Linked DNA regions of Diceros bicornis minor. The main gene of each other region encodes a partner of the protein of the gene in region 3 in a complex. Links are inferred from orthologs where the notes say so. Each region holds a gene or a part of one and is shown on either strand. Other genes may lie near its edges.

Region 1 (7,242 bases), on a different chromosome or scaffold from region 3:
TACATTTACTTTTTGTGTTTAAAAAGGACATTCTCAGGATGGCCCTGCAGAGGGAGGTGGGCCAGTCTCCACGTCTCACTCATTGGAGCACCTGTTGGGCTCATTTCTGGAACCTGTGGGACTCTCACTGCTTCTGATGATGGCTACTGACATCATTCCATCATTAGCCCAGGGACCCAGACATTGAGGGTGGCAAAGGCCTGGGTCCTAGGGGCCACACCAGCAGGCGAAAGAAAAGCCCACCACTGACACCATGTCCTGCAAAAGGCAAGGGTCCTGCCTCAGGGTCTGCCCGCAGGCCTGTGATTCTTTCTCTCCATCTCAGTTGTCACTGGTGTTTATTTCTTTTCTTGGTGCTTTTAAATCCTCGTGATGCACCTTGACCAAAACAGATGATAGGAGGTATTCTGAAATGGAAAACAATCTTCACACTAAACTGTTACACCTTTCACCAACAAATGACCCAATTCATAACCGGTCTCGGGTGTGTTCCTCTCGTTCCAGGACACTCCCTCTCACCCTGGGGAGCACTCAGGACGTCGGCTCTCCCTTCGTGCAGCCCTGGGCAACTCCCTGACTGCAGCTGGCCAGCCTGCCTCAGACCCACCTCCTATGGGAGACCCTCCCAGCCACCAACACACGCTTGCTGCTGAGAACTTGGCCAGGAAGGCTGCCTCCTGCCAAACTCTCCAGGGCTCCAACTTCCTGTACCCCCCATCGGGTGAAACCTAACCACCCACTGGCACCCGGGACTCACTCGCAGGCCAAAGTCCGGGCAGCTGCTCAAAGGCAACTGAGGGACATGAGTCTATTTTCTTGTCAACTTGGATTTGTTGGCGATTTTTTTCCATTTTTCCCAAAATCGGATTTCAAATCAACTTTAACCCAATAAAAGCACAGTTCATGCTAGAAAGACAGACTCACAGGTTGTAACTTATGCAATTACAACCAAGGTTCTTTCTATCCCAGTTTAGGCCACGATGACAAGGGGGGGTGCTCTGCGTCTCTGTGCTGCAAGGGTACCAAACACAGAGTGCACGAGAGAAACTAAGTTACTCGGAGACAGGAGAGTCACGCTTTAATTCCTGCTGAAGCGCACACTCCGACCCGGCGCCAGCTTCTCTCAGTAATGGTGCCGGCCCAGGCTCAACCCCGCGATTCTCCCCGTAAGACACAAGTGCAGAACCTGCTCCAGAAAGAGACCAGGTACTGACCTGTGGCCACACGTGCGCCTCTCACTCGCGGGTTCTGAGCAGCCTTCCATGGCGTCCCCTTCTGACTGCTCCCAGTCAGCCCCCAGGGCTTCTGCCGACACTTGCACGGTGACCTGGGGTGTGGCTAGGCTGTGGAGGACAGTGGGGTGAGCGTCTACTCCTGCAGCCCCAGTTTTCCCCTAGAAATGAACTCGTGAGGGAGATGTTATTTTTTCTGGCAAAGATATTTTAAAACAATGATGGCATAGTGCAGTTTCCAGGCTACCAGGACAAAAAGAAGAATTACAGAAGGTCATAAGTGAATGTTTATATGATAAATACCACATTTTATAAATTTAGGTATAACAATTACACTGTCTTTCTTTTTTTTGTCTTTGCTGAGGAAGATTGGCCCTGAGCTAACATCTGTGCCAATCTTTCCTCGATCCTGTATGTGGGTCGCCACCACAGCATGGCTGATGAGTGGTGTAGGTCCACAGCTGGGATCCGAAACTGTGAACTCAGGCCGTTGAAGTGGAGTGCACGGAACTTAACCACTACACCACGGGGCCGGCCCCTATACTTTGTCTTTTGAAAATAGTATTTTTACGGTGCCACGTGGTAAATGCCTACCAAGGGTGCCTAGTGTCTTTTCCAGACAATCAGTGAGAAATTTACTAAAGTTGACTGTACGATATTGAGAGTCTCCTCCCTAACACCAATGTTTCCATCCACCATTGCAGGGTTTTCTTCTTAAAATGATCCCTTGGAAAGGAAGGAGTTACCGTATACTCAAGGCCTTACAAAAATCTCCCACGTCGCAGTGGGTTCTCAGAATTATTTTACTTTAAACAGCAAAGTTCTGTTAGAGGAAAACAAATTAGTCTGAGTAGACTTCATTCAATGCAACTTTCAGATGGTTATGAAAGTTTACCTGAAAGAATCAGTTACAGGAACAGGCAAAGAAACGTAACACAGATTTAAGAACTATCCCCACAGGCATTTCCCCACAGTGCACTCTGCACAGTGACGTGTAACAAACCGCTTTGTTGTCAAGTTCGTAAATGTGCACTGATGGGACAAAGGAAACACGAGAAGGCCCATGTCAGGGGAGGGCTCAGGGCCTGGGACAAATCCCAAGGCCCACAGCTGCTCCACGCAAGCAGAGCTGATGCACAGGACGGAGGAGAGGTGCAGCCTCGTGAGGTGGGAGTGCAGAGCAACGTGGTGGTGTTCCTACACGCCCTGGCAGACACTCGAGGGTCCCCCAGTCACCCCAGCACAGAGCCCGGGAGGCCCGGTGCTCCCCTTCCTGTCCTCTAGCAGGGGACCCCACACAAAACCACCCCCACTTGTCTACCTCTTTTGGTGACTCTCGACTTCTCAGGGTTTCCGTCACCTGCAGCTAAATAAGAGGTTAAGCGATACAGATGCTGGACTACATCATCTTCATCCTTAAAGTCTACACACTCAAAACCTTGTCTAAATTCAAGAGGTGGCCGCATCCTGCAGCGTGGACACGTGTGTCGCCTCACGTACCTTCTGGTTTTCCTTGGTTTATCAAACCGAAAGTCCACAGGGTAGAGGTGACGGTTCACCAGGTGATCCTTCCTGTCTTTGCTGGTCTTGAACTTCTCTGTGCAGCCTTCCACCAAGCACTGATACTGAAGCAGAAACGGCGTCACCTCCATCCTGACCCCCCCCAGCCCTCCCCTCACACCTCCATGGGCACAGGGCCGGGGCCAAGGGCGGGGAAGGTGCCCCCTGGCCTTGCCCCTGGCCCTGAGAGCTGGGAGCAGTGCTCTGAACCCCTCGGCCCTGGTACCCGCTGGGCAGACAGCTCAGAAACAAACCCCCTCAGCAACTGCACTTGGCCTTAGTCACCCACCATGTCCTGCCTCTCGGACAGGATCTGGAACAACGAGTCATGCCACTCCAGGATGTGGACATCCAGCAGGTGTCCAGAGGGGAAAGCCCGTTTGCAAAAGGAGCAGACGTTTCTGTGCAGAGTGTGGTAGTGGTGCTCATAGTCCTCCAGGGCGTCGAACACCTGGCAGCAGCCCGCCACCTGACAGGTGAACTCGGGCACCCTGGCAAAAGAAACGGCCTCATGGGGACACCATTCCGCTGCTGACAAAAAACATCAAACTCCCTGTCGACAACTTCATTTTAAGTGACGCGATAGAGTTTTGAGTGTTTCTTTTACAACCCCAAATCCTACCCTGTTAAGAACTATATTTTCACACCAGCTAGGCGGTGGGGAGGCCAGCCTCTCCGGCGCGTACCGTGCAGGCAGGGGGCGCGGCGGCAGGTCCTCCCCACCTCCACCCCAGGGGTGGTCGGGAAGGGGAGGATGGGAGCCACGGGAAGGAGGCAGGGTGGGGTTGGGGGGCGAGAAGGGCCTCTCTCACCTGGGCTTCTCGGGCTCCCCGGCAACCTGCGTGAGCACGTCCTGGAGATAAAGGTGCCGCTGGACGTCCCCTTCCTGTAGAACACGCGCCGTGGGCTGAACCGGCACCTCGCAGCCCCGCCCAGCCGCAGCCCCGCCCCTCAGCCAGAGGCCCCGCTCCACCAGGCCCCACCCCCCACCCAGGCCCCGCCCCTCACCCGGAGGCGCCGCTCCACCAGGCTCCGCCCACGACCAAGGCCTCGCCCCTCAGCCAGAAGCCCCACTCCACCAAGCCCAGCCCCTGAGCCTCAGGGCCCGCCCCACGACCCAGGCCTCGCCCCTCAGCCGGAGGCTCCGCTCCACCAGACTCCGCCCACGGCCCAGGCCCCACCCCCGAGCCTCAGGCCCCGCCGCCGGACAACGGCCCTCGGCGTCGGCTCACGCACCTCGAAGAACTCATGCTCGCGCGGGAAGCGCACCAGGCGCGCCATGAAGCGGAAAGGCGCGGCCCCGGCCTTGGGGTTCCGCTCCACGGGCAGCGGCTCGGCCGCCCCAGGTGCCCCGGCGAGGCGGGCGTGCAGCGCGGGGGGCAGCTGCATCGCCGTGCGCGGCGGCGGCGCCACACTCTGTCAGCCACCGTCTGTGGGCCGGCCGGGGCGGGGCCGGACGTGACGTCGCGCCACTTCCGCCGCGGGCGCGGGCTGTGCGCGCGCGGGTCCTGCGGTGAGTCGGAGCCGGGGTCGGGGGGCCTGAGCCCGGGGGACTAGGGGTGGCGGGGTCCGAGTCTGGAGGGTAGGGGCCGGGGGGTGGCATGAGCCCTCTGCCCACCGGACGCCCGGCCGGCGCGGGGAGAGCTGGCCTCCGCGCTGTGGCGCCGCCGGCTCGGATCCGGAGCGGGTCTCTGTTCGCCGTCCGCCCCTGTGCGCGGCTGGCGCCCTCCCCCCGTCCCCGGTGCCGTCCCCCGTCCGCACCCCTTCTCTCCCGGCTGACGGGCTGCGGCCGCCTCTGGGCCAGGTCTCTGTGGAGACCTGAGTTGTCTCGTAACCCTTCGGTGGCTTCCCACTGCCCCGGTCCAGGGCCCGCCAGGCCCTGCTGTTTCCCGCCTGCCCATTGTCCCCCATCCCACCCCATCCTCTCCCGGCGCGGACAGGGCGCGGCGTGTAGAAGTAAGGTGGTCCCGCCGCTCCGGAGCCTGCAGCCCGGCAGGAGAGGCGGACGTCTAACTCGTGACACAGTTACCGAGTTAAATGGTGACGGGTGACGCGGAAGGGACGCAAGGATGCTTGAGCCCTATTGCGGAGGACGGCCGCAGGCCCGCTCGCCACTCCTCACGCCGAGTGGTTCCCGAGTGGTTCCGCACCGAGCAGACGCCGGGCGCGCATACGTGCAGTGGCAAGGGAAATGGGTTGCTGTTTCTCTAAGAAGTTAAAAATGTAACTTAAAAATATAATTAGAAACTTGCACTCACTTCATTTTGGAAGTAAAGGTTTGTGGCTACGTCCTCCACCGGTCATTTGCGTGCCTAAGAAGAGCTCTAGACAGACGCAGACTGTTTTTCATCTCTTATGCATTGATTTTCTGTCTCTGAGACAGCATTAGGCTCCTGACATTTTTCACACGTTTTAAAGTAATGTTCTTCAAGCCAGTTTGTCCAATTAGCTTTGAGCTCTTCAACAAAGAGTGCTTGTCACCTCCCTTTGTGTTTCAGTCAGATGTTCACAGGTGTGTGTGCCTGACTCGTGCATAGGTGTCGCTGCCTCCTTGCCCCTGCGCTGCCTCACACTCGTGTGAGGAGGAGATGGGTTCTGCTCAGTCGCCGAAGTCTGCGTCTGTCCACTTGTGGTGACTAACACAAGTCAAGAGCATCAAAAAGATCACGTGAGCCGCTGCAATTAAATGTTCCTCACAGCTGTTTTTAGGGGGTACGCTGTTGGCATTTTTGGTGGGACGTGTCTGTTGCTGTTTAACTTCCCTGGGCTCCTGCCCACTAAATACCAAGAGCACCCTTCCAGTCACTGTGACAACCAAAAGTTACCCCTATGCGTTTCCAGAGGTCCCCTGAGGGGAGGTGCTCCCTGCAGGGCAGAGCCAGAAATCTTGCAGGAATTGTTCCCCAAATCCACAGAGAACAGTGGACTCCTCCGAGGATTAATACTTGTGATGTGGGGTATCTGTGGTTTTATTTCTACTACAGTTGTGAAGATTCATGAAGATAGTTTTTAAGTAAATATTCACTTAGGTGATCTCTCTTCAGAAGAGCTCTCTCCGCCTGCTTGTATCTGGTGGAGGGGTGTTTTGTGTCCATGGTAAACGCAGCAGCATCCTTGCCAAGGTGGTCCTCAGGCCAGCCCTTACAGGACAACCCGCAGTCCTTAGGAAGCCTTTTGGAATGTGGGTCAATCTGGTTGCTCTTAGGTATGAAGAGGCTGGCAGTGGGAGAGTTCGTGTTTTCTTTTCTGTTTTCTGTGGTTTGTAGGGCCTCATTCAGGGCCCTGGGTGACTAGTAGGATAACCGATGGTTTCCGATGCTCTCAGTGATTCAGATCCAGTTTTCCTTTTGTAAAACCAACCATTTGTCAGGCAACAATGAACACTTGCAGTGGTTGGCTTTACGTGGTAATAGCAGCAGCACTTGTTCCTGCTTTTCTTTTGTGTGTGTGTGTGTGTGGAGGACCAGCCCTGAGCTAACATCTGCCAATTCTCCTTTTTTTTTTTGCTGAGGAAGACCGGCCCTGGGCTAACATCCGTGCCCACGTTCCTCTACTATATATGGGACACCACCACAGCATGGCTTAACAAGCGGTGCGTCGGTGCACGCCTGGGATTGAACCGGCAAATCCCGGGCCGCCGCAGCGGGGCGCGTGCACTTAACCGCTTGCGCCACCGGGCCGGCCCCCCCTGCTTTTCTAATAACACTAGTGCAAGAACTCAGTACACGCAGGCCCTGTGGTGCTTTATAAGACGATCAGTCTCCACAGCAGCTCTGTGGCTGGCGTTTACTACTCACCCCTTTCAGAGGAAGCTTTGAGAGGGCAAGCTCCTTGCCCAGGGCCCTCTGGCCTGGAAGTGGCCAAGTCAGGGTTCAGTCTGTCTGGGGTTCCACAGCCTGTGCCCTGCTGTGCCTGCGCCTGTAACTGTAGTTACTAGGAACACCTCCTGATTCACAAAGGACGTGCGCTAGTGACTTAATACACCAGCTGGTCCTTACTGCTGTGCTTTCCTCTTTGGAGACACCCTGCATCTGGCCAGTATTTGCTGTTTGTATACTGTGACACTGTGATGTTTACGTATGGAGAACTAGTTCTCCATCACACGAGGTTAGACTCTCACTTTCTCAGTGTAGAATTACAAATTAATGTGCATTGTTAGCATGTTGTGAGGGTGTGTGCTGAGTCTTCTCCACTTGATGTTTTCTTTAACTCATGGCTCATCTTCACTGAGCTGTTGGCACAGTGGTTCTTAACCTTTTTTTGGGTCACAGAGCCTTTGAGCGTGTGTTGAAAGACCCTCTCTTCAGAAAATTCACAGACAAAAATGATTTTACTTATGATTTCCAAGAGTTCTTTTGTTGTTTGTGGACCCTAGATCAAGAACCCTTGCGTAGGTATATTGAGATGTTTACGTGAAGTGTGCTGGTGTTCGTTTTTTGAAGGTATGACT
Region 2 (7,847 bases), about 34 Mb from region 3:
ACTCGGATTAGGCAGGAAGAGACATCGGAAGCAAGTGCTTGTTTCTAAAAATGATTCAACATGTTTTAAGAGTATACTCACTACCCTTGGTAGAAGCCATAACCATTCACTGTATTACATTAGTAAATTACATTAAAATTAGGGTCTTTTCCCACTCTTTTCCCCTCTCCTATATTATAAATATATCAATTGAAATACACCAAGATTCTTTTCATAAGCCTACCCAGACAATACATCATTTATTAACAACTATACAAATGTTGTGTCACAACTTTGCTTAATTGTATTGTTGACTCTAGAGGGCAGGAATAACATTCTATCCTTCTTCAGTGTTCCTCACAGTGCCTCATAGTGCTCAACAAATATCTCTTGACTGATAGATAATAGTTGCCCAGAGTTGAATATACTGAAGAGAAGAGGCAAAATAAAGCACACAGTTTGTGTGAGATAAAAAATTAGTCTCATTTGTGACTCATTTGCTTTTAGATATTATTTTTCACCTTCTTTTTCAAAGGTATTATTTAGATTTAAGTTAAAATCTTTTTATGCTCTATCTCCATTCTATTCCCTTTCTACAACACTTTGGAGGAACATTAACTAATTATGAGGGAATGGTCATCAGGTTACCAAGCCAAGAGAGGAAGGGATAGAAGAGCCAGACAAATATTTGCAAGAGCATTTCAACATGTGCGCATCTTTGCGTGATTGAATTCTAAAGTTAAAGGGAAAAGGATTATCTATTATTTTGAACTGACAACATATGTACCTTAGGACTGAAAATTAAAAGCTGGTCATGCCAGTATGTGATATTTTTTCAAATATAAAAAAATCAGACTATAAAACTGACATCAACAAAAGAGTCCCTCGAACTATTAATGAATACTGCTATCAGTAATTTGTAATTACAGAATACTGCAATTTGTAATCAAAAACTAGGTCTGTTCCACCAAAGAAGTGCATGGTCTCACTACATTAGGCATCAGTAAGCAGCACAAGTCTGAGGCACATTAGTAGTCGGAAACCTACACGACACATTAACAAAGAAGTTAAGGCTGCTCTGATTACTAGGTGAATTCAAGACAATGTAATTCAGATCCCCAAGTGTCCCACATCAAAGTTGGATGATGTCTAGAAAAGCTCTCTCTGTTGTTAATGGATACCCTTCCATTCAATGTGTCTTAATTTGGTAAGGGGATTTTTGGCTTCCCTAAACATAGATGACAATGAAATAGCATTTTGCTTTACCCTACACCACCAAAAAAGAAAACAAAACAAAAATTCAATGGCAGAAGCCTCAATTAGGTAGAAACGTACAAATTTCAAAATGCCCTCCCTCTACCAATGCTGGGGAGGGAGAGTTGTCCCATAAGCAGCAGAGGAAGGTTATCTCTAAAAGAAAACAACTCCTACCCAGATTTGGAACTGTCAGTGAGGAAATCTTTCTGGATACAGTTCTTCAGTTACATAGGATAAATCTGTATCATTATTTTTCTTCCCTGATATCTTTACATATAAAAATATTCACTCTGGAATTTCCTCTCTCTCTTCACTTGAGAGTGGGTTATTACACTTACGTGCAAGAAAGGAAAACTTACCGAGAATGACTTAAGTATAAAGCTTGACGATGAATGTCTTCTGGGTCTATTTCTACAGGATTTATTACAGCTAGTTGATCAATAGACCATCTAAATTTCCCTGGAGTCTTAAGGAAAAAAAGTGAGCTTATGAGTAAAAGCAAACTAACATAGTTCATTAAAATGCTAACCAACATCAGCTTCAAAAATAATGTAAATGGTTACAATATAAAAATATCTTACAGATCATATTTTAAAATTTGACTTCACCACTAAATTAAAAGGCAAATGGTAATCAAATCACACTGAATCAACTGACTTGACTGTATCTCTTTAAAAATATCCAACTCTTCCCTCTGGGTGATTTTTTACATAGTAATAGAAAAATTACAGTAGAGCATTAAAGGTATAGAAATTCCACAATTAACACTCATCAGTGATGTAACATGCCCAAGTAAGAATCTCCTAGAGTTATCAAAAGTCTTTACTTTCACTAAAAATGAACTGAAATTAAACAAAGTTCTAACTACAAAAGTGCCAGCAAAAGCTCTTAAATAGTTGATCCTTGAAATAATTACGAATGGCAACTAGCACTGCCCTTTCGCATTCAATTATCCAACTAAACCAAAAACTTATTCAAATGCTAATCTGTAATTCAGAATATATTTTTGACAAATTCAGGCTTAAAAACCCCAGAGGCCAATCATTCTGGCCTTGAGGATTAAGTTGCCGTCCTTCAATTATTTTTATTAAGACTGATTAAAATTTATATGATTCAATTAAAAATCATAAGGTGAGATTAATGACTAAACAGAAACTGTGTAACTGTAAAACTTTCCTCTAGTGCATACCTGCTCAAGCTGATGTGAAAGTGTAGCATAAAGAGCCACCCAGTTTGTAGATAATTTACTAGGTTAAAAGATCAGACTTCCAAAGAACTTCTCCAATGTAGCCCATAACAGTAAGAATAAGCTCAAGTGATGAAGGCTTCCCTAATCCCCTCAAGAGCACCTTCCCTTCCATGTCACTCTTATGCTTAACCATTGCTTAACCATGGCACCTATCATATTCTGTGGTCACTAGTTTAGTTGTGTCTATCCCATTAGAGTAGAGACTGGCTTCTTTTCACACACTCTGCAAGCTAAGAATGGTTAACAAAATCCCAAAAGAATATTAGCATTTCATGACATGTGAAAATTACATGAGATTCAAACTTCAGTGTCCACAAAAAACAGCTTTCTTGGAGCACAGCCACGTTTATTTTGTCTATGGCTGCTTTTGTGATACAAGGCAGAGGTGAGTATTTGTACATCAACGAGATGACTCGCAAAGCCTAAAATATTTACTGTCTGGCCCTTGACAGAAAAAGTTTGCTGACTCCTGCATTAGAGTATAAGTTTCTTGAGAGTTTGTGTCTAATGACCTGGACTGTTCAAGGTATAACCTCTATGCCTAGCACTGTATTTGACACACAGCAGCATTCAAATGTTTGCTGAGTAAATGAGAATAGATAATTAGATGACATGGCTTATTTTCTAATATGGTATTTGTAGACATATCATCAACCATAGTATCCAGGTACATCCACAGTTGCAGGAAACTAACATATTATCTATTAAATTAAAAAAAAAAGAGAGAAATGCTAACTAAAAAAAATCTTCTAGCTAACTTATTTTTAGCCCAACCACTACACTATAAAGAACAATTTAAAAAGCACATTCCAGATATATATGTTCCATGATAAATTTCCCCTCTACCTTGTAAAGAAAGATATTACATTTAAAATTATTTTTAAACACTAGTCAAGCATAACTTACTGGTAATTTTGTTGATTTAAAAACAGAAGGACTGGAGAGAGTTTGTTCATGGAGATTAGAATAATCACCAGGACTTTCGAAAGGGTTTAAAACAGGGATCCTTCCTGGAGTTTCCGGTGTTATTTGCATTTTTGATTCTTTGACATCTCCCATAGCACAGACAAAAAACTAAAAGGAAATCAGAAGTATGTATAATAGAACTACAAAGTTCCATAGACATTCATTTTGACAATTAAAATATATTCAACAAACATATATTTCACAAAAGCATGAACTCAAAACCTAACTTCTTGGGCTTTTTTATAATTTACAAAAAGCATCACATACATTTTCTCAAGAGATCCTCTAGATAACCTTGAAAGCTAGAAAGGAAATGTATTAGTGATACCATTTTGCAGAAGAATTAACGAGCTCAGAGAAGTGGCTTTTAAGCAACAGTTGACCAAGCATGACTGAGTTCACGTCCGCCTTCGAGGCAACTAAATGCTACTACAAGCACAAATCCTTTTCCAACTAAAGGACTTATACCTATAGTGTTTTTATTCATTATCTCAAGTCTCTAAACACTTGAACATCATTCAGACAACCCAGCAATTCCCTATCAAACTGCAGTTACTAAACAACAAGTATTTGTAGCAAGCAAATGAGAGACAAGAAAGCTTGTGCACGGGTGCCTTACTTGCACATCAGCCCGGGTCAGAGAAGTACGATTGACTGAGGCTAGGAAATTAACCCCCTTTAGTTGCCTCGCCTCAGACAGCCTCCTTTCGCTAAGACCCCCAGGATTGAAGGCAAGACTGCTTTACTTTCAGTCAACAGGGCGCTACAACTAGAGAAAAAAAATCCACTTCTTGGAACGCTGAAGTGCAGCTGGCTTCGGGAAGAAGAGCAGAGGAGGACACTCATGCCGGTGTCACCCCCAACCCTACGCGATCACTCTTTCTTGGCACCCCTTTCTTCCGCACCTACTCCCTCGCTGCTCCCATTCACCCCGGGGCGAGCGGGCAGGCAGGTCGGAGCCGGGAAACGTGAAGCGCTCCAATTCGAGACAGCAAGAAAGGCCAAGAACTACAAAGAACGTACCTAGTGGTGTGTATAAAAAGGAAGCCCCCCAAAGCGACTCCAGGGCGCTCCCGAGGGGCCAGACCAGCTCCCACGACAGGCAGACTCTTTAACTCCCCGCTTCCGCGCTGTCTTAGGCCAACCAGGGCACGGGGCTTGTGGGCGACTGGCCAATCGCATCGCACCGCTGTCCGCGAACCAGCCAATCGCATTGAGGCCGCGTAGCAAATTCGAATGGCAACTCCTCGCTTCACATTCCGCGCAGAGTAACGAGGCTCCAAATTCAAATCAACGCAGCCTCACGCCGGCGACGAGCGCGAGGGGCGGAGCCTGCCCGGCGTGAGCGGGGGACGCGCGGTGTGATTGCCCAGGAGAAAGGAAGGCGCTCCAGTTCCGGGTCAGGCCCTTCTCCCACCTCCCTCGGCCTCCGCCATGGCGAGTAGTGGCGGCGCCGGGGCAGCGACGGCGGCGGCGAATCTGAACGCGGTCAGGGAGACCATGGACGGTGAGTGCCCGTTTCGCCCCCTTTACCTCGCTTCCGTTTCCCAGAGCCAAGGCCCCCAGGCGGGGGTGAGCCCAGCAGGACTTTAGGTCCAGTTCCTGCCCCCAACGGCATCTTTGAAGAGCTTCCCAGGCGATCCGCCGGGGCCGCAGGGCTGGTGTCTCCATCTTTGGAGAGTTGTCTCTTCGCTCCTGCGTAGTTTGTCGCGTGCACGGCGTTGGGCCTCCACGTCAGCCCGGCGCGTGCCCCGTCCGTCCCACGCCGGACCCCCGCGCGCCGCCCGCGCCCCCTCCCCGCGCGCCACGCCCCTCTCCCGCGCCGGGTCCTCGCGTCCTTCCCTCGCTGCCCAGCCCCGCGCGCCGCGCCCACCCCACCCGTCTCCTGCCGCGCCAGAGCCTGCGCGGCGCGCCCAGTGAGTCCCTTCCTCTTAGTCGCGAGCGGGGCGCGCCGTGGAAGGCCTCCAGACTGTCAGCCTGTGCGCACCGTGGCCGTGTCTCTTCGGTCACCGCTACATTCTTTGTCCTTTGCATTTTAGTAGGCGCTTTTTAAGCATTCGGTGAATGAACGAGTCGCCCCTTCATCAGAATCGCCCCACTTTCGTCATGGAGCGGGTGACGCCGGTGTCCGGGGCCGGTAGTGTATTTCTCTGTCTTCGCGCCCCGAGGCGTGCGGCTTAAAGCCGACACACAGGTGGTAGAAGACGAACTGAGCGTCTTGGAGTTACCCTCTCTCTAAGCTCTAATGCGGGCTCTGCCACTTTGTACCTCTAGTGGTGAACTTGGACAAACTGCTTAAACATCTTTAAGTCTGCTGCGTGTGTGTGTGTGTGTAGAATGACGTTACTGCCTCCTAGGGTTATCGTGAGTGTTTAAATAAGATAACTAGGTAAAGGCATATTGAACGTGATCATTAAAAGATAGTTACTGTATTATTTTTGTGTTAAAATGGCATCCCGCTTACAGACTCCTTTGTCTCTGTTTTATTCGCATCTATGTATATATGTGTTTGATGGATGTTAGACATTGCTTTTTGCATTTTCCAGGGGATACCCACATCACCCTCTATCTCTGTTAAAACATAACCCCATGGAATTCTCGCTAAGCAGTATTGGCCTACATATCCTACCTCTGTCTCCTTCACTGTAGGCTCCACTGCCTAATATAACCCTTCTTTATAGAGATTTCTGATAAGGCTTCTGGCTTTTTCTGCACTGGCTGCTGCTTTCCTTTTCACAGAATTACTTATATTATTAGAGCCTTTGCATCTAATTTTTTACTTACCAAGTATCTTCCTTGCAGTTTTTCTGAAAAATAGAATTTTGTTCTTAACATCATATTCAGCCTATTTCCCATCCTTCTTGATGTATCAAAACTTATTAATTTTGTTTTGTAAGTGGATTTTTCTTTTATTTTAATTTTATTTTTTTCCCCCAAAGCCTCAGTAGATAGTTGTATGTCATAGCTGCACATCCTTCTAGTTGCTGTATGTGGGACGCGGCCTCAGCATGGCCAGAGAAGCGGTGCGTTGATGTGCACCCGATCCCGGGGCCGCCAGTAGCAGAGCGCGCGCACTTAACCGCTCAGCCACAGGCCAGCCCTGTAAGTGGATTTATGTACAGAGAAGCTATATGTATACAGCATTATTGTCTACGGCCACAGGATCCTATTTGAATAGAAAACTCAGCGTTTTATCTCTGTTGGAACTACTGATGTAGAAATGAGAACTGATAGTTTGTATTGGTTCCATCATCAAGATTTTTACTGAGAGAACTGTGTGTAAAATAAAGATTTTAGAGAGTGTAAGAACATGAAAAAGTGAAGAAATGCCAGATATTTTTAAAAAAGCAAAAATTGGAGGAGAGAATGTGTGGATTAGAGAACACTGTTCCTCTGCATGCAGTTTGGCCACACACCAGAAGGTAAAAAGAAAGCCCCAAGTAGGCAGCGGATCAGCCTTTGTTGTTGTTTTTTTTTTTTTTTTTTTGTGAGGAAGATCATCCCTGAGCTAACATCCATGCTAATCCTCCTCTTTTTTCTTTCTTTTTTTTGCTGAGGAAGACCAGCTCTGAGCTAACATCTATTGCCAATCCTCCTCCTTTTTTTTTCCCCCAAAGCCCAGTAGGTAGTTGTATGTTATAGTTGCACATTCTTCTAGTATGTGGATGCGGCCTCAGCATGGCTGGAGAAGTGGTGCGTCGGTGCACGCCCGGGATCTGAACCCCGGGCCGCCAGTAGTGGAGCGCGCGCACTTAACCGCTAAGCCATGGGCCCGGCCCTCAGCCTTGTTAAATGTGGCTGCCAAATACTGTTGTGTCCATTAGAACTGTAAACTTACAGAAAATCCCTGCTATCATGCCATAATCGGGTCCAAGACAGTCACGTAAAATGTGAAGTGAAATTATTGCTAAGTTAATGACTATTTTTCATACTGTCAATAATGATTCAGGCACAAAGGGAAACAGTGACACTTGCACTGTAAATAATTGACCATACACTCAACTGAAAAAGGCCTAAATGCAGTCTTTTATAATCCCACCTTCCTCCACCCTCATTCCCAGAAATAAAACTTTAGCTTGCCCAAGGGGCTGGGCTGACCTACTCAAACACAATTATTTTTGAAATTCTGTTAATGAGGGGTTTCACTATCCATGAGAGCCTAACTGAAGTGTTCAAAGCTTGTTGAGTCTGACTCCCCTCCTTCAAGATCTAGTCTATTTCTCCTCATCCTCTTACCACCTCTCTCCTGTCAGTATTAGAGTCAGCTAACAGTGATTTAATCTTTTAATGGGTGTCAGTGATTTGCAAGGATTGTAGAACTCAGCTACAAATATTTGTAATTTTATTGTGAATTGAAAGGATTTTGATAAAGACAGGGGAGGAAGCAGTGGACTTC
Region 3 (6,998 bases):
TGTATAGTAAGCACCACTCTGCAAAACAGAAACCACTCTAGCAACTTCAACATGGGGGATTTAATACAGGGAATTATTTACGTGGGTGGTTGAAGCAGCTGGTGAGGACTAGGAGATTAACAAGTGCAGAAAGTGGCTACTTTTCACAGGGCTGAAGAGACAGCAAGAAGACTGATGTTACTGTATCCCACATTCTGAAACCTTCCAATGGGAGTGAGATCCATGATGAGAGTTGTACAGAGGAGGTTGGAACCACGAAAGAGGGGGCTGACTGGTGGAGATGTTGCCAAGAGGGATACTCAGTTACCGTCATAGGCAAAGTGAGAAGCAGAATGCTGTGAGGCGATAACTTTGGTTGTCTCCTCCTGACCTCCAGTTTCTACCAGTGACTCCCATCTGCTGAACCTGCCAGTCGTCCAGGGAGTTCGCATCACAGCCTTCTCTAGGATGTAGGGCAGATCAGGGAAGGGCAGGTAATGGATCTGAGAGCAAATAGGCAAACGATGGGCATGTCCTCCATGGAGCCATGCTTGAACCCCACCAGGCAAAGGTAATTTGTACTAGTTACCTGTTGTGTAACAAATCATCCCCAAACTTGAGGGCTGAGAACAATGAACATTTTATTTGGTAACAATTCTGCAACCTGGGCTGGACTCAGTGCGCGTTCTGCTTGCTTTGCAGTTTCTCTCTTGTGTGGCTGCATTTAGCTGGAGGGTCGGCTGGGGGCTGGGATAATGGAATAGCTGGGCCCCTCTCTCTCATTTCATGGGGTCTCAGGATCTTTCCCTTTCCATGTGGCCTCTCTCCATGATCTTTCCTGTGGGGTAGCTGGACTTTTAACATGGAGGCTCAACGCTCCCAAGAGTGCTAGGAGGAACCTGTCAGGCCTTCCAGAGGCTGAGGCTGGGAACCAGCACAGCGGCTCTCCCACAGCATCCTACTAGCTAAAGCAAGTCAGAGATCTTCCAAGGCAAGGGGAAGGGGATTATAAAAGGTGAGAATTCTGGGAGGCACAGTTTATTGGGGGCAAGAAATGTAGAACACTACCCCATAGCTATTTCCTCTACTATAGCATATGGGACCTGTTTTTAAGAAGTCTAATTTTAGGGGTTAGACTTCTGAAAAGTTTTTATTTTTTGCCAGTTACGTTTCCCCAAGTAGGCCAGGTAGATTCTCCACTTCTCGTCTGTAGTGACATCTCAGGCAGACCCACGGCCTTTTAGTCATATTTGGTTTTGAAAAAAATTCTGTCCAGTGTTGATGCAAATAATCCATAATCAATCTATAAATCAAAATTGGGGTGAGTTTATTACGAGCCAGATCTAAGAACTAGCCTGGGGCCTTCCTTCCCCAAGGAAGGAAGGGCGTCAAAGAAGTGGGGTGTACAGAGAGGTTATATACCGTCAAAGAGCATGTATCACATATGATTGGAATGTCCCTTTTACAGCAGTCACGTGACTGCCTAGCCTACCTACCTGGCACAGCGATTCACATAGCAATTGACGAACACAGCAGGTAGCAGGTCTGTGGTCTCAAGCTGGGTGGTCATGGCAGGTCAGCAATCAATCCCTAGCCTAGAGAGAGAGATACTTATCCTTAAAGAAATGCTGATGTGGGGGAAGTTACTTTATCTTAAGGGTATTGTTCTTGCCTTTGGGCATAGTAAATATTTAAAGCAGATATACAATGCATGCTCAAGGGTCAGTCAGGCCGTTTTGGAAAAACAAGATCAAGCTGAATTCCTTTTACACCAGATGGCTTCCTCATATACTCCAGTATATCCTGCTGCTTGTCATTTATTTATCACCAGGCAAATTCAAGGCGTTTGTGCCAGATCCAATCTACAGCTCATGACTTTTCCTCATTCCTGTGCACCCAGACCTCATCAGCCTAATGTATCTGAAGAAGGGAGGGGACATCAGTTGCCCTTCTATTTTCCTCCACCTCCCATTACTAATTTTAACTCTCTTAATTTGAGTCACAATGGAAGGATTAGGGACAGAGGTTAAAAATCTTTTAATTAACTTGGCACGAGACCGTGGCCTCTGTCAGTAGTCCTCACTTTCTGGTTAACCTTGAGTGGCCGTCAATGCCATCTCTGTGGCAGGTGTCCCAGGCCAACCCTCTTGTGGAGCACATGCATGACTTTTCCTGCGGGTTCCATGCAGGGGGCTCACCTCTGCACGGTTCCGGGCAGGGTAGGTCCTGATGTCCCTAAAATTGTCTCAGGACCTCCAGAACGCCCTCCTTCCCCACGGTCACTGAGCAGCTGTAGATGGACTTTCAGGAATGGGAGTGATGGTTGGAGAATTAGCAACGCCAGCGTGGCTGCGTCCTAACAGACCCCGAGGCAGTGTCTGCCTCCCACTTTCTATGGCTTTCTTTAAAATGTAGTGTCCTCAGTTTTGTATCTAGTTGCCAATTCTTGGACGAGTCCTTCTCTACATCCTGTTACATGCCCACTGTGTATTTTAGTTATTTTATTTCCATCTTTAGATCAGAAGAGCAAAGGCACACGCAGGTAAGTTTCAGTGACAGGAGCTGGTTGTAAGGACACATGAGCACATCGCCCACTGTGCTGGGCCTTGTGTTCTCTAATCGCCTTCCCTCTCTGTGCCGCTTGCTGTCTTTGCACCCTGTGACGTTGCAAGACTGCGGCTGGGGCTCCATGACCTCGAAAGCCTGGGCAAGCACAGCAGGACGGCTGGGAAGGAGGAGAGCTGTGGATGCTGCAGTCTGAAGCTGCGGTTCTGCTCTTGGTGTGAAGTCCTGGCCTCCAGTTGCCTCACTCAGACACTCTTTTGGCCTTTGTCTTGTGACTCTTATGGTTTTCCTATTCCTAGAACTCAAACGATGCAAGGCAGGTGTTAAAATGTGCCATCAGATGAATAGTGTTCCTTTAGGGCCTTGGCCCTTCCTCCGTAGGCTCCCATTAAGGCCCATTTGACAGCCCGAGTGCTAGCAGGGTGGTCTTGTTTGTAAGGCTTGGGTTCTCCTCTGACCCTGTGGAGGGGAGGGGTGGCTTTTTCTCTGCTTACTTGGTTGTTGGAAGTTGCCTGTTTTTCTGTGTTATAGTTCAGGCCACTGGAAAATACAAATTCTTTTGATCTTAATTCCAAATTCCCTGGAAAGAAACTTAGGTTGGTCCAGCGTGAGACAACTACTCGCCCTTGGTCTAATCTACTGACTTGAACAGTATACTCCTGGTTGCCGGGATCCCATAACTCTGACCAGCCGATGTGTGGACTGGCTCATCTGGCCCTGGACTGGGCCATTCTCAGCACCCGGCTTCTCCGCACACTCATGTGACACGTCTATAAGTTCGTGGAGAGTGACTTGTCCTAACTGCCTGTTATTCCTCCTTTTCAGGCCTCTCCCCTCTCTCACTCTTCATCTGACTTGTCTCTCATGACTGTACTGGTCACCTGGGATCAGGTGGGGACGGGCTCTGAGATGGTGAGCAGCCACAACACACTTCTGGAAAGCTGGATGATGTGCAGGTGTCACGCTCGACCAGATGTAAAATCGTAAAATTCTTGTACTCCTTTACACAGTCTTCTTCCACTGAAAGTGTGACAAGAACCGATGACGTTTTTAAAAAAGTAGGGACTATGGATGCGCTGCTGGGCACCAAGCACTCCCACAGCAAGTCAGTGGTCGTCCTGCTCTCGGGGACGTTTGGGGACATTTGAGGGTCTGAGCTGTCCTGACACTCTGGGGACGTCTGGGGGTCTGAGCTGTCCTGACCCTCTGGGGACGTCTGGGGACGTTTAGAGGTCTGAGGCGTCCTGACCCTCTGGGGACGTCTGAGGGTCTGACTACCGGGAGGCGATGAGCAGCGAGGCCCAGCGCGCTCGGTGCCGGAACCTTCCTACCCCGCCGGCGGTGGTCGGGGGGAACCCTTAGGCCGGCGCACCCGCGGCCCCGAGCGCCCGGAAGAAGCGGCGCCTTGTGGGAAGAGCCCGCGGTTTCGGCGGGTTCCGTTAAAATGGCGCCCTGGTCGCCGGCGGTGGCCGCGGGGCCTTAGCCTGTCGGGGACGCGGGAGCCCGGGCGGCGGGGTCTCCGGAGCGCGGCGGGCTCGGGCAGGCGGGCGAGGGCCGGGGGCTCCGCGGGCAGTCCCGGGCGAGGATGGCGACCCCCGACCAGAAGTCGCCCAACGTCCTGCTGCAGAGCCTGTGCTGCCGGATCCTGGGCCGGAGCGAAGGTAGCGGCGGGGCCGGCTCGGGGCCGGCTCGGGTCTCGCAGGCCGCTCCCCGCGCGTGCGGCTCGGCGGCGTCCCCGGGGCGAGAGCGTCCCCGGGGCGGCGAGGGGCGCGGCGGTCGCGGAGCTGCGGCCCCGGGCGAGGGCGGAGGGCAGGGCCCGGCCGGCTGAGTCACCGCTCCCCGCGCCGGGGCCGGAGTGGCGCCCGCGAGGACGGCTCGCGGACGCGCCCCTTGTCTGAGTCCCCGCACGGCGGGCGCTTGCGCGCTCACCGGGGTGGGGAGAGCGGCGGCCTGGCCGGTCACGCGTCTGTGGCCGCGCGCAGGGGGCGCCGGCGGGGCCGAGCCGCGTCAGGGGCCCTGGCCCTTAGCGGAGGTGGCAGCTTTGAGGCGGAGCGAAGGGGGTGCCGACGGCTGTCACCTGCCGTATTTTTCTGTAAGGGGCTGAGGGTTGAATTTGATATGGAACTGTTTTTGGGGAGTTTACGTAGGGAACACTGCTCCCAAACCCAGTCCTGCACGGTGTGGAAAGCCATTCTGTGGTCGTGGTGCTTGTGAAAATGGCACAGTGTGTCGTTTTGGTGGGAGGGAGGGAGTAGTGGGGATGCAGCGCGAAGGAATAATGGAGGCAACTGGGTTACTTATTCCTGAAGCACCGTAACGTGGAGAAGAAACTGTTCAGTTGTTGTGGGAAGACCTTAAACAAAATTACATCTAAAGTATTGGGACTACACTTTGGCCTTCAGGATTCATGGCAATTAGCTGACATCAGTTGTTTGATGTTCTATGATAACCTTAGGGGCAAAAAGTGAAGTTTTCTGTCAGTCTATTCAGTGCCACTGCCTTCACGCAGTTCTTGCTGCGTTTCATAAAGTTTCAGTGTCACTTTACTCATCTAAGACATTTTTGCTCCCACCCCAGCGCACTCCAGGTACCGTGTTAGGTGCTGGTGATGCAGAGCTATGCCGACAGGTCGTTCCTCCCGTAGATCTTAGATTCTAGTGGAGGAGACGTGATAAAATAGGTAAACGTATAATGTTCATTAGTGATCAGTGCTGTGATGAAAAATAAAGTAAAGGGATGTCGAGGGAAGAGGTGAGGGAAAGCCTCCGAGGACATGAATGGAGTGAGGGAGGGCCCTGTGAGCATCTGGGGAGAGCTCCGGGTGGAGGGTGCAAAGGTCTTGGGGTGGGTGCGAGCTTGGTCTGCTGTCTTCTGCGTTTGTCTCCAGCTCTTCTCTATGTGTCTCTCTGCACTGGGAGTTACATTCTGATTTGATGTTCCGAGTCATGGGAGAAACCCAAGAGCTAAGGTTGTTGGTTATGACTCGCTCACTTTAATGTCAGTGTTTTCATTAGACCGGTGGGTCCGCGGTTTTCCTCCAGGGATAAACCACATACGTTCCCATTGTCACAGCTGGACTTGGAAGGCCATTCATTGTGAGGTACCATGATGTTTCTCAGTTGAAACAAATTTTATATTTGCAGCTCCTTTCGATTGACTTAGTTTCACTGCTTCCAGGAGGTTGAAATGTCTCTTCAGCAAAGTTCTGCACCCTCCTGGCTCTCCATTTGGAATTGTGTCTAAATTAAGAGTGGGCAGGCTCTCTGTGAGATCCTGAGGGGATCCTCTCGGAGTAAAATATATTATAAAATCCATTAACGACAATGCTCTCTTTGTTCTGGACAGCTAGGATTGCCAAACAGTTATTATATTCATAATTCCAAATTATGCTACTATTTACAAAAGAATTTACAACTATTTAATAGCTTGCCTTGTTTTAATTTGTTCCACCTTAGTGGGCAAAGGAGCAATATAAATTGCTGCCTTTACAGTGTTTGACATTTGAAAAATTTTTTTTTTCATTAGTGGGTATTTTATCTGATAACTAAGTAGAACCTTTGGTTAATTACTTCATTTTTTAATGACATGTTACAAACAGTTGCTGTTATGCTTTTGTAATATATTGCTTTTCTAATACTATGAAATTGAGGCATAATAGACACGTTACTTTTAATGTGAATTTCATATGAATCAATTTTTCATAAAGAACCTTTTAAAAAAAATTTTACGGTTGGCTTCAAGGGACCTTCGAAGCAAAGCACCTAATGGTAGTGGTGCTTGACATTTTTCTAAAGTTAGTATAACCATTATTCCACCTTTTCCATCTTATAACACCTGTGAATTTGCTTGAACCACAACTGTCCACCAGTGGCAGGAGAATTCTCTCTCCATGTCTCTGCCTCTCTCCTGGAGCACATTTTGCTTATTATATCTTTGGATAGTCATTATTTGTCTTTGGAAATGATGTGCGTGATCTTATAGTGTTTTAACTCTTGTCAGAGGCAGCGTTCCTTTTCATACCTTGTAACCCTCTTTTTAATTATGAGATAAAGAAGAAATAAGGGAGTTTTTATTAGTAAATATTTCAACACAAATGCTTAGGTGTGACTAAGTACACTACATACTAAAGTAAGGTGATTGCCCTAATCTGTAACACCACCGTGAGTGCACTGTGAGCCATGTGTAGACAGATAAAGAAGTGTTGTGTGCTGATTCTTGGGCCACACATGGTGTTGCTGTTGGTTTCATGATTTTCCGAAATGGTGAAGAGCTCTTGATGAAGTTTTGAATAAAGTATGGTCTTCCCTGGATTATATGCTTGGGAAAATCAATGTATATTAAGTATACATTAAAAATTATATTAAATGTATGTTAAACTGTTCACCAAATGTCTATTAATATGTATATTGAAATTTCAGAGTTTTAGGCTTCATTTGAAAGTTGTACTTAATGTG
Region 4 (7,706 bases), on a different chromosome or scaffold from region 3:
GTCTTCCCCAGTCCCCAGGCCTCTCCCTGCCCCCACCCTCAAGTTAAGACCTCAACTCTGCTCTCTGTGCCAATCCTGCTGTGTGTTTTTCTCCTCTACAAGACCATGAGCACTTGGCTCTGTTACTTCTTCTTCCCCAGCTCATGTTAGCACGCCCTGCATAGTACAGGTGCATAATAAAAGAATGAAAGCAGGAGCAAATAATCCACAAACGGGATTATGTTAGGCTTATTTCCTTTTTCCTATTCCTTGAGAACACAATACAGAACAAAATAGCCTGTTTTGTCATAACCAAAATATGAATTTAGCATAACTCCCTTCACATAAAGAGCTCCAGCTCTTTGCCTTTATTGTTTTAATTTTTCCTTGGCTTCATTTTGAACGTTGAACTCCCTAGGGTCACAGGAGTCCAGTCTCAAGACCTTAAGTCTTTCTTCCTCCCAGTCCCGGAGAGACACCATCATTTCCCCACCTCACACCTCTGCCTCCGTACCTCCCAAGATACCTATGCTCCTGGCATACTACAGGCCAGGTGTCCAGAAAAGGCCAGAAATGAAGAGGCATACAAAAAAAGTCTTATTCAACCTAGAATGTCCAATAAAGGCTTTGGACATTTAACAAACTTGTTAGTTTACAAATGCTACATTTATCATCAGAGGCAGACCAAGGCCTCAGACAAAGGAATGCCACATCCCACTATGTTACCATAACCTGGATCAGAGAACATAGAGCCACGCAGATTAAACTCAATACTCAATAATCAAGCCATGGGTAATGACCTTGAGACTCTGGATCTGAAACCCAAGAGAAGGACCATGAACCTGGGCCTTCTGCTCAACCTCAATAGAAGTTTGATCTGAAACCAAATCTGTAGGGTGATCACAAATAATTAGGTTTTAATTTTTTCAAACTTATTTAAAGCAACCACTCATTTTGCTTTTACCTTGAATAAGATCTTTCATCTGTAGCAACAGCCAAGCTGTACTTCAGTTCCGATTGCATCTAGTGATAATAACAGCAGCTAACATTTGCTGAATGTTTTCTGTGAGTCAGGCACTATGCTAGGTGCTCATGCATCATCTCATTTAACCAATAGAGACCAGTCAGTTCTCAGCAGAAGTGGAAAGCATAGCCTGACAACAACCGGGAGGATTTATGTTCAGCTCTGCTAATGTACATGAGCATCTGAGTTTCCAACCGGTTTCTACAGACTAGGAGGAGCCTCCAGCTTGTCAGAGAGGCTTCTGAGGGAAAACTTCCATGGCAACTTCTCCAACTTAGACAAATTCACACGTTCTAACCTGTTTGCATATAAACTGGGATTCAAAGGAAGTTTTCCCACTTCTGGGAGACTAGGAGGAGCAAGGCACTGTTATTAATCGTAAGAAAAGGTTGACATTAAACTCTCACGTTTTACAAGTGTTCATAAACTGCTTACAGCTTATTATTTTAAAGGAAGTCAATAGCCGTTCCAGACTCACAAGGACGGGAGGCCAGGCAAGTTGACTCGCATCTTGGAAGCCTTCCTCCTCACCTGGGCAGACCCGGAGAGGGCCTGGCAAAGTCTCTGAAGACACTCAGCTCTTAAGGAGCAGTTCTGTCGGGGGAGGGACCCGAGAGGAGCTCCGACCTCACCCTCAAACTTCAAAGGGAGCAGCCAGACCCCCCCTTGAAAGGGCGAGGCTCCTTGTCCTCCTGGGGGATGCTCGGATCTTCCGACAGCCCGGCCGGAGCGGAAGGAAACGGGCCTCCCGGCCGGGGTGGAATAAGGAGAGGGAAACTGAGCCGAGGCCGGGGAGGCAGCGGGCGTGGGGCGAGCCAGATCCTTCTAAAGAAGTCCAGAGGGTTCCTGGCGGCCGGCGCTGGAAGGCGGCCGAGTTCTCTTAAAAAAGAGAGAGAGAGAGAGAAAAGAAAACAAAAAACCTCGTCTGAGCATGACTCTTGGCGGTGTGCTTTCGTCAGCGCCTCTGCAGCGGCTCCCAGAGAAAGCCTGCCAGACCAGACAGGGACAGGCAGACGGCCCAACAGAGCGGAAGAGCGGCCAGAAGCCGGCCCACTTGGGAGCGGGGGCTTGGAATGTTCCCGGGGTGGGGGACACTGCAGCGTGTCTTCATTAATTGGTTCGGAGACAATTGGCCATCCATATGGAAAAGATAAAGCAGATCCCTATCTTACAGCAGGCCTCCGAATAAGTTCCAGATGAAGTCAAGTCCTACAGGCAAGAAGCAAAACTGCTACGGGACTTTTGGAAGAAAACATTGAAGGACAGCTTTATGATGCTAGGAGAAGGGAAGGTTTCTTTAACAAGGTATAAAACGTGCAGAATAGAAAGGAAAAGATGGATAACTTTGTCTACATTAAAATTAAAACCTTCTCTATGCCAAAAGACACCATATGCGAAGCATAAAGACAAGCCATAGACCAAGAGACAATATTTGCAACCATACAACCAAGAAAAAATTCATAGAATATCTTAAAATATCTACAAGAAACAGCTCAATAGAAAAATGGGGGCCGGCCTCGTAATGTAGTGGTTAAGTGCCCCCGCTGGGCTGCTGGTGGCCCAGGTTGGGATCCTGGGCACGCACTGACGCACCGGTTGTCAGGCCATGCTGTGGCTGCCTCCCACATAAAGTGAAGGAAGATACGCATGGATGTGAGCTCAGGGCCAGTCTTCCTCAGCAAAAAGAGGAGGATTGGCATGAATGTTAGCTCAGGGCTGATCTTCCTCTCTCTCTCACACACACACACACACACACACACACACAAATGGGCAAAGGAGCTGAACAGGCAATTTGGAAAGGTCAGTAACAAAAGAAAATAAAATCAACTTCACTTGTACCATAACTGGAAATTACAACCACAAGATCCCATTGGACTCGCATCCATGGGACTGACAAAAATTAAGATCTGATAATCCAAGTGCGGATTAGGGTGTAGGGAAATGAAAACTCTATTGCTGGTAAGAGTGTAAATTGGTACAATCATCTAGAAGAAAATATTTGAAACCCTGTAAAGTTGAAGCTGCTCATGCCCTTGGTAGTGATGTTTTCTTCGTGTTCACAAGTGGACAAGTCTTATACTCGTTTGATGTAATAGGAAATAAGTGGAAACAATCTAATCTCCCTTGCATGGAAATAGAATAAACTGGTTTCATCCATTCAATGAAATACTATAAAGCAGTTGAAAGGAATGGAATAAATCTACATGCATCAACATGGCTAAATCACAAAAATCTAATGTAGGGTGAAAAAAGCAGGTTGCAAAAGGATATTACACTCTGATACCATCTATATAAAATTTCAAAACAAACAATATATAGTAAAAATACAAAATTATGCTTATATGCTTAAAACATTTTGTAATTTAAAATAAAACAGAAACCACAATGAGATACTACTTCACACTCATTAAGATGGCTATTATTAAAACAACAACAACAACCACCCAGAAAGTAATAAGTGTTGACAAGCATATGGAGAAATTGGAACCCTTGTGCATTGCTGTTAGAAATGTAAAATGGTGCAGCTGCTGTGGAAAATGATACAACAATTCCTCAAAAAATTAAACATAGAATTACCATATGATCTAGCAATTCTACTTCTGGGTATATACCCAGAAGAATTTAAAGCAGGGACTCAAACAGATCTTTGTACATAGATGTTCATAGCAGCATTATTCACAATAGCCAACTGGTGGAAGCAACCTCATGGTCCATCAATAGACGAATAAGGGTAAACAAAATGTGGTATATACATACAAGGGAATATTATACAGCCTTAAAAAGGAATGAAATTCTGACACATGCTACAACATGGAGTAACCTTGAGGACTTTATGCTAAGTGAAATAAGCCAGACACAAAAGGACAAATAATGTATACTGTATGATTCCACAGTATATGGAAGGCACCTAGAGTAGTCAGATTCATGGAAACAAAGTAGAATGGTGATGGGGGGCAGTTACTGTTTAATAGGTACAGAGTTTCAGTTTGGGAAAATGACAAAGTTCTGGAGATGAATGGTGGTAACGGTGGCAGAACAATGCATATGTACCTAATGCCACAGAACTGTACACTTAAAAATGGTTAAAATGGGGCCCAGCCTGATGGCATAGCGGTGGCATAGCTGTTAAGTTTGCACATTCTGCTTGGTCGGCCGGGGTTCCCCGCTTGGGATCCTGGGCACGGACCTACTCACCACTCATCAAGCCATGCTGTGGCTGCGTCCTACAGAGAAGAACTGGAAGGACCTACAACTAGGTTATACAACTATGTGCTAAGGCTTTGGGGAGAAAAAAGAAAAAGAGGAAGATTGGCAACAGATGTTAGCTCAGGGCCACTCTTACTTAAAAAAAAAAGTTAAGCATCCTTTATTAAAAAAAATGGTTAAAATGGTAAATTTTGTTAGATATATTTAATTTAAAAATAGAAATTTAAAAGAAGAAAATTGGCTCCAGCAGAGCCAGCGGAGTAGCTCACCTATATATATAGCGCCACTGACTCCATACACCTGGGCCTCTCTCCCCCCCCACCCCCGCTCCCCTCCCCTCCCCCACACCCGGGTCGCTACTCTGCAACCCCGGCAAGTCTCACCGCGCAGGCGCGGAGCTGGGGTGGGCGGGCAGGAGGGGGCGTGGCCTTCCTCTGCGCCTGTGCCGAATTCCAGCTGCAACTGCTGTGGGGGAAATGATGCCCAGGTTGGGCTCCGCGGCCCCCCGGTCGCGGGGAGGCCCGCACTGCACACGCGCAGACCGAGCACCCGCGTCAAAAGGCGAAGAGCGCGCGCTCTCCCCACGTCTTGCGCACCCGGCTGCTAGGCGTTCGTCTGGGCCGTGACTCCCGCCGGGCCAGGCTGGCGCGCCCACGTCTGGAGAGCGATGCCCCGGGAGATCATCACCCTGCAGCTGGGCCAGTGCGGCAACCAGAGTGAGCAAGCGAGCGGCGGGCCCCTCCAGTCTCCGGTTCTGCCTCTTCGGGTCCCACCCAAGTGCTTGGCATCCTCCAGTCCCCCTTTCCCTTCCATGAACCCCCTGCCGTAACTGCGCATGATGAATGAGCCCCAGACTGAGAGCCGCGCCTCCAGCCCTGGGCTGTGACGGCTCGCAGACCAGGCGTCTTGGGTGCAGCCTCTGAGTGTGACAGCCTAACCCTGACTCAGGCATCTCTTCCCATCCCCCAGTTGGGTTCGAGTTCTGGAAACAACTGTGCGCCGAGCATGGTATCAGCCCCGAGGGCATCGTGGAGGAGTTTGCCACCGAGGGCACTGACCGCAAGGACGTCTTTTTCTACCAGGTGCCCCCAGCGACTTGGCCAGGGGTCCTAAAGGGAAGGCAGCGGCCTGGTGCTGGGAAACCTGCTGGGCAGAGAAGCCAGGGCGGCTGGCTTGAGGAGGGAGGGCAGGCAGGAGCCAGAGCTGGGAGGACGGGGGCCTTGGCCTTAGCTGATTGGGCCCCCTCCTGGACTCCCCATGACAGGCAGACGATGAGCACTACATCCCCAGGGCCGTGCTGCTGGACCTGGAGCCCCGGGTGATCCACTCCATCCTCAACTCCCCCTATGCCAAGCTCTACAACCCAGAGAACATCTACCTGTCAGAGCATGGAGGAGGGGCTGGCAACAACTGGGCCAGCGGATTCTCCCAGGTATCCAGATGGCCATCTCAGAGACCCTTGATGTTCCCTCCCCTGGACAAGGCAGGCTCAAGCAGCCTGGGGATTTGACCAGACCAGACTGACAATAAATAAGAGACAAAGGGATACCCTAACAAGAGGGATAGCCAGGGAGTTTATGCAAACTTTGTGCAAATCATTTACAAAGTAGCATTTCTGGTTTGAGGGCTCCTGCTGAGGCTCTGCTTGAGGACAGCAGCAGTGCCCCAGGGTAGCGTTCTTGGTGCTAAAAAGAGATGCTCTCCAGAGACTTCATCCTGACCCTCCCTCCCCATGTCTCTATACAGGGTGAGAAAATCCATGAAGACATTTTTGACATCATAGACCGAGAAGCAGATGGAAGTGACAGCCTAGAGGTGAGGTTCTGCCCACTGAAGAAAAAAAAAAGGCTGAAAAGTGCTGGGGAAGGTCAGGTAGTAGGCTGAATGGGTGGTGTGATGGGGGCAATTCGATTCCAAACTCATTTATTGAGCATCAGATGTGAGATATCGGGGTAAATAAGGTACAGTTGTCATCAAGGAGATCCTAGTCTGGATGGCATCAGCTCCTTAGGCATGAGCCTTCCTTCCCAAGGAGCCTCAGCCTGGATGGATACACAGGAAGCCTTGAAACATGAGTGTGTTGGGAGTGGGAAGGAGACAAGCCTGAAGCATCTTCCCCAGATCCCTGGAGACTGCCTCTCTGTCCCTCTCTATGCAGGGCTTCGTGCTGTGTCACTCCATTGCTGGGGGGACAGGTTCTGGCCTGGGCTCCTACCTCCTCGAACGACTGAATGATAGGTAAGCCTGTGTTTGGGGAGAAGGCATTAGCCCTAGTTCTCTAGGTAATGTTTTTCCTTTTGGTTACTTTTTTCTCTTGGATTGGAAGGTCTGCCACTACCCCTTTGAGTCATAGGTAGGATCAGAGCCTGGCTACCCAGGGAACATCTTGGAAGCAATAACTCTGGGGAGAGAGGTTTGCCTAGGGAAGGAGGAGACCTACAGAGTGAATCTTTAGGCTTATCCTTTTTGGCTCCTGGGCTCTGAAGACTCAGTTCTGCCCTCACCCCTTTTGCATAAGAGCTTGGTGGCACTTGGAAAGGAATGGCCCCTGTAGACCCTAGAGAAGGCAGAGATGGGCAGTGATGGGGGGCCTTCCAATTCACTGTGCCACCTTCCCTTTCGCTCTTCCTCACCCCCAGGTACCCCAAGAAGCTGGTGCAGACGTACTCAGTGTTTCCCAACCAGGATGAGATGAGCGACGTGGTGGTCCAGCCCTACAACTCGCTGCTCACACTCAAGAGGCTGACCCAGAACGCAGACTGTGTGGTGAGCATAGGAGGAGGGAGTGGGGGGCTTTTCCCCAAACCAGTGAGACACATACACCCTGCCCTTCCCAAGCCCCTGCCCAGAGAACAAAGGACCAACAAAGCCATACCTGATGGCCCAAGTTATGAAATAAGGACCTGACCCCAAGTTACTTACAGTCTGTTTAGGCAGGTGGACTCGCAACAAAGTGAATACTCTCCCCCGCCAAGTGCTCCTACTCTGCCTATTTAATGCCTACTCATGCTTAAATTCTCAGCCCAAGAGTCACTTTCTTAGCAAAACTTTCCTTTCCACCCAATCAAGGTCAAATTCCTTTGTGCATATTTCAGGCAGTAACTATACTTTTCTTTTATTTTATATTTAATGTCAGTCTCCCTCCACTAGACTGTAGACCTGGTGAGGGGGAAGACCATGCCTGTTTTACAATCCAGGGTATCTCCAGAGCCAAGCACAATGCGTGGCACATGGGGACACTCAAATATTTGTTTACTGTACTGGATGGTAGAAAAGTGTCTCGTGATGCCCCAGACACAGTACTTTCCTTTTAAATTAACAAACGCACTTCTTGGTTTTGGAGTTTAGAGGGGAACTAAGCTAATAACTTATTTCTCTGCCCCCTTTCTCCTCAAAAAGGTGCCGTGACCCTCTTCTGTCCCCCCAGGTGGTGCTGGACAACACAGCCCTGAACCGGATCGCCACAGACCGCCTGCACATCCAGAACCCCTCCTTC

What was found.
Region 1: the proteins of TUBGCP3 (region 3) and TUBGCP2 are in contact, whole or in part, in a cryo-EM structure (PDB 8Q62), measured with the Homo sapiens proteins. The link is inferred for Diceros bicornis minor from reciprocal best matches to the Homo sapiens genes TUBGCP3 and TUBGCP2. Residues at the interface, in NP_006313.1 of Homo sapiens: Glu272, Asn273, Cys274, Ser286, Leu287, Asp289, Thr290, Val292, Arg293, Glu296, Trp299, Ser361, Thr363, Leu364, Arg365, Leu368, Val369, Tyr372, Lys375, Ile376, Lys379, Ala382, Ala383, Asp386, His387, Ala402, Tyr403, Lys405, Thr406, Gly407; in NP_006650.1 of Homo sapiens: Gln172, His173, Pro175, Ile176, Phe177, Pro178, Trp180, Arg184, Ala186, Leu187, Ile188, Gly189, Phe191, Leu222, Tyr223, Val226, Val228, Asp229, Gly230, Arg231, Glu278, Ser281, Phe283, Gln287, His290, Ala291, Ala294, Arg297, Val300, Lys301.
Region 2: the proteins of TUBGCP3 (region 3) and MZT1 are in contact, whole or in part, in a cryo-EM structure (PDB 7QJD), measured with the Homo sapiens proteins. The link is inferred for Diceros bicornis minor from reciprocal best matches to the Homo sapiens genes TUBGCP3 and MZT1. Residues at the interface, in NP_006313.1 of Homo sapiens: Lys7, Pro9, Leu12, Leu13, Asn15, Leu16, Cys17, Arg19, Ile20, Leu21, Arg23, Val28, Gln31, Tyr34, Ala35, Val38, Ile39, Asn42, Phe43, Ala44, Pro45, Thr46, Ile58, Leu62, Arg67, Asp70, Phe74, Leu77, Lys80, Leu81; in NP_001065243.1 of Homo sapiens: Asn17, Ala20, Val21, Glu23, Thr24, Val27, Leu28, Glu30, Ile31, Ser32, Arg33, Ile34, Leu35, Asn36, Thr37, Leu39, Asp40, Glu42, Thr43, Ile46, Cys47, Val48, Arg49, Leu50, Cys51, Glu52, Gln53, Gly54, Ile55, Asn56.
Region 4: TUBGCP3 (region 3) and tubulin gamma-2 chain share a complex: the UniProt entries of both Homo sapiens proteins name them as parts of the gamma-tubulin ring complex. The link is inferred for Diceros bicornis minor from reciprocal best matches to the Homo sapiens genes TUBGCP3 and TUBG2.

The regions. Positions count from the first base shown.
Region 1 is NC_080745.1:95,367,266-95,374,507, reverse strand, and holds the start of TUBGCP2 (gamma-tubulin complex component 2), read left to right. Parts: upstream 1-4,237; 5' UTR 4,238-4,305; intron 4,306-7,242. Other genes in the region: ZNF511 (zinc finger protein 511), read right to left, coding at 329-407, 1,215-1,343, 2,733-2,857, 3,082-3,283, 3,605-3,678, 4,029-4,181. UniProt on the Homo sapiens protein: Component of the gamma-tubulin ring complex (gTuRC) which mediates microtubule nucleation.
Region 2 is NC_080748.1:52,856,982-52,864,828, reverse strand, and holds the start of MZT1 (mitotic-spindle organizing protein 1), read left to right. Parts: upstream 1-4,833; 5' UTR 4,834-4,885; coding exon 4,886-4,958; intron 4,959-7,847. UniProt on the Homo sapiens protein: Required for the recruitment and the assembly of the gamma-tubulin ring complex (gTuRC) at the centrosome.
Region 3 is NC_080748.1:86,404,549-86,411,546, reverse strand, and holds the start of TUBGCP3 (gamma-tubulin complex component 3), read left to right. Parts: upstream 1-3,997; 5' UTR 3,998-4,129; coding exon 4,130-4,205; intron 4,206-6,998. UniProt on the Homo sapiens protein: Component of the gamma-tubulin ring complex (gTuRC) which mediates microtubule nucleation.
Region 4 is NC_080757.1:41,711,245-41,718,950, forward strand, and holds the start of tubulin gamma-2 chain, read left to right. Parts: upstream 1-4,691; 5' UTR 4,692-4,877; coding exon 4,878-4,926; intron 4,927-5,179; coding exon 5,180-5,292; intron 5,293-5,474; coding exon 5,475-5,642; intron 5,643-5,956; coding exon 5,957-6,025; intron 6,026-6,368; coding exon 6,369-6,448; intron 6,449-6,849; coding exon 6,850-6,976; intron 6,977-7,637; coding exon 7,638-7,706. UniProt on the Homo sapiens protein: Tubulin is the major constituent of microtubules, protein filaments consisting of alpha- and beta-tubulin heterodimers. Gamma-tubulin is a key component of the gamma-tubulin ring complex (gTuRC) which mediates microtubule nucleation.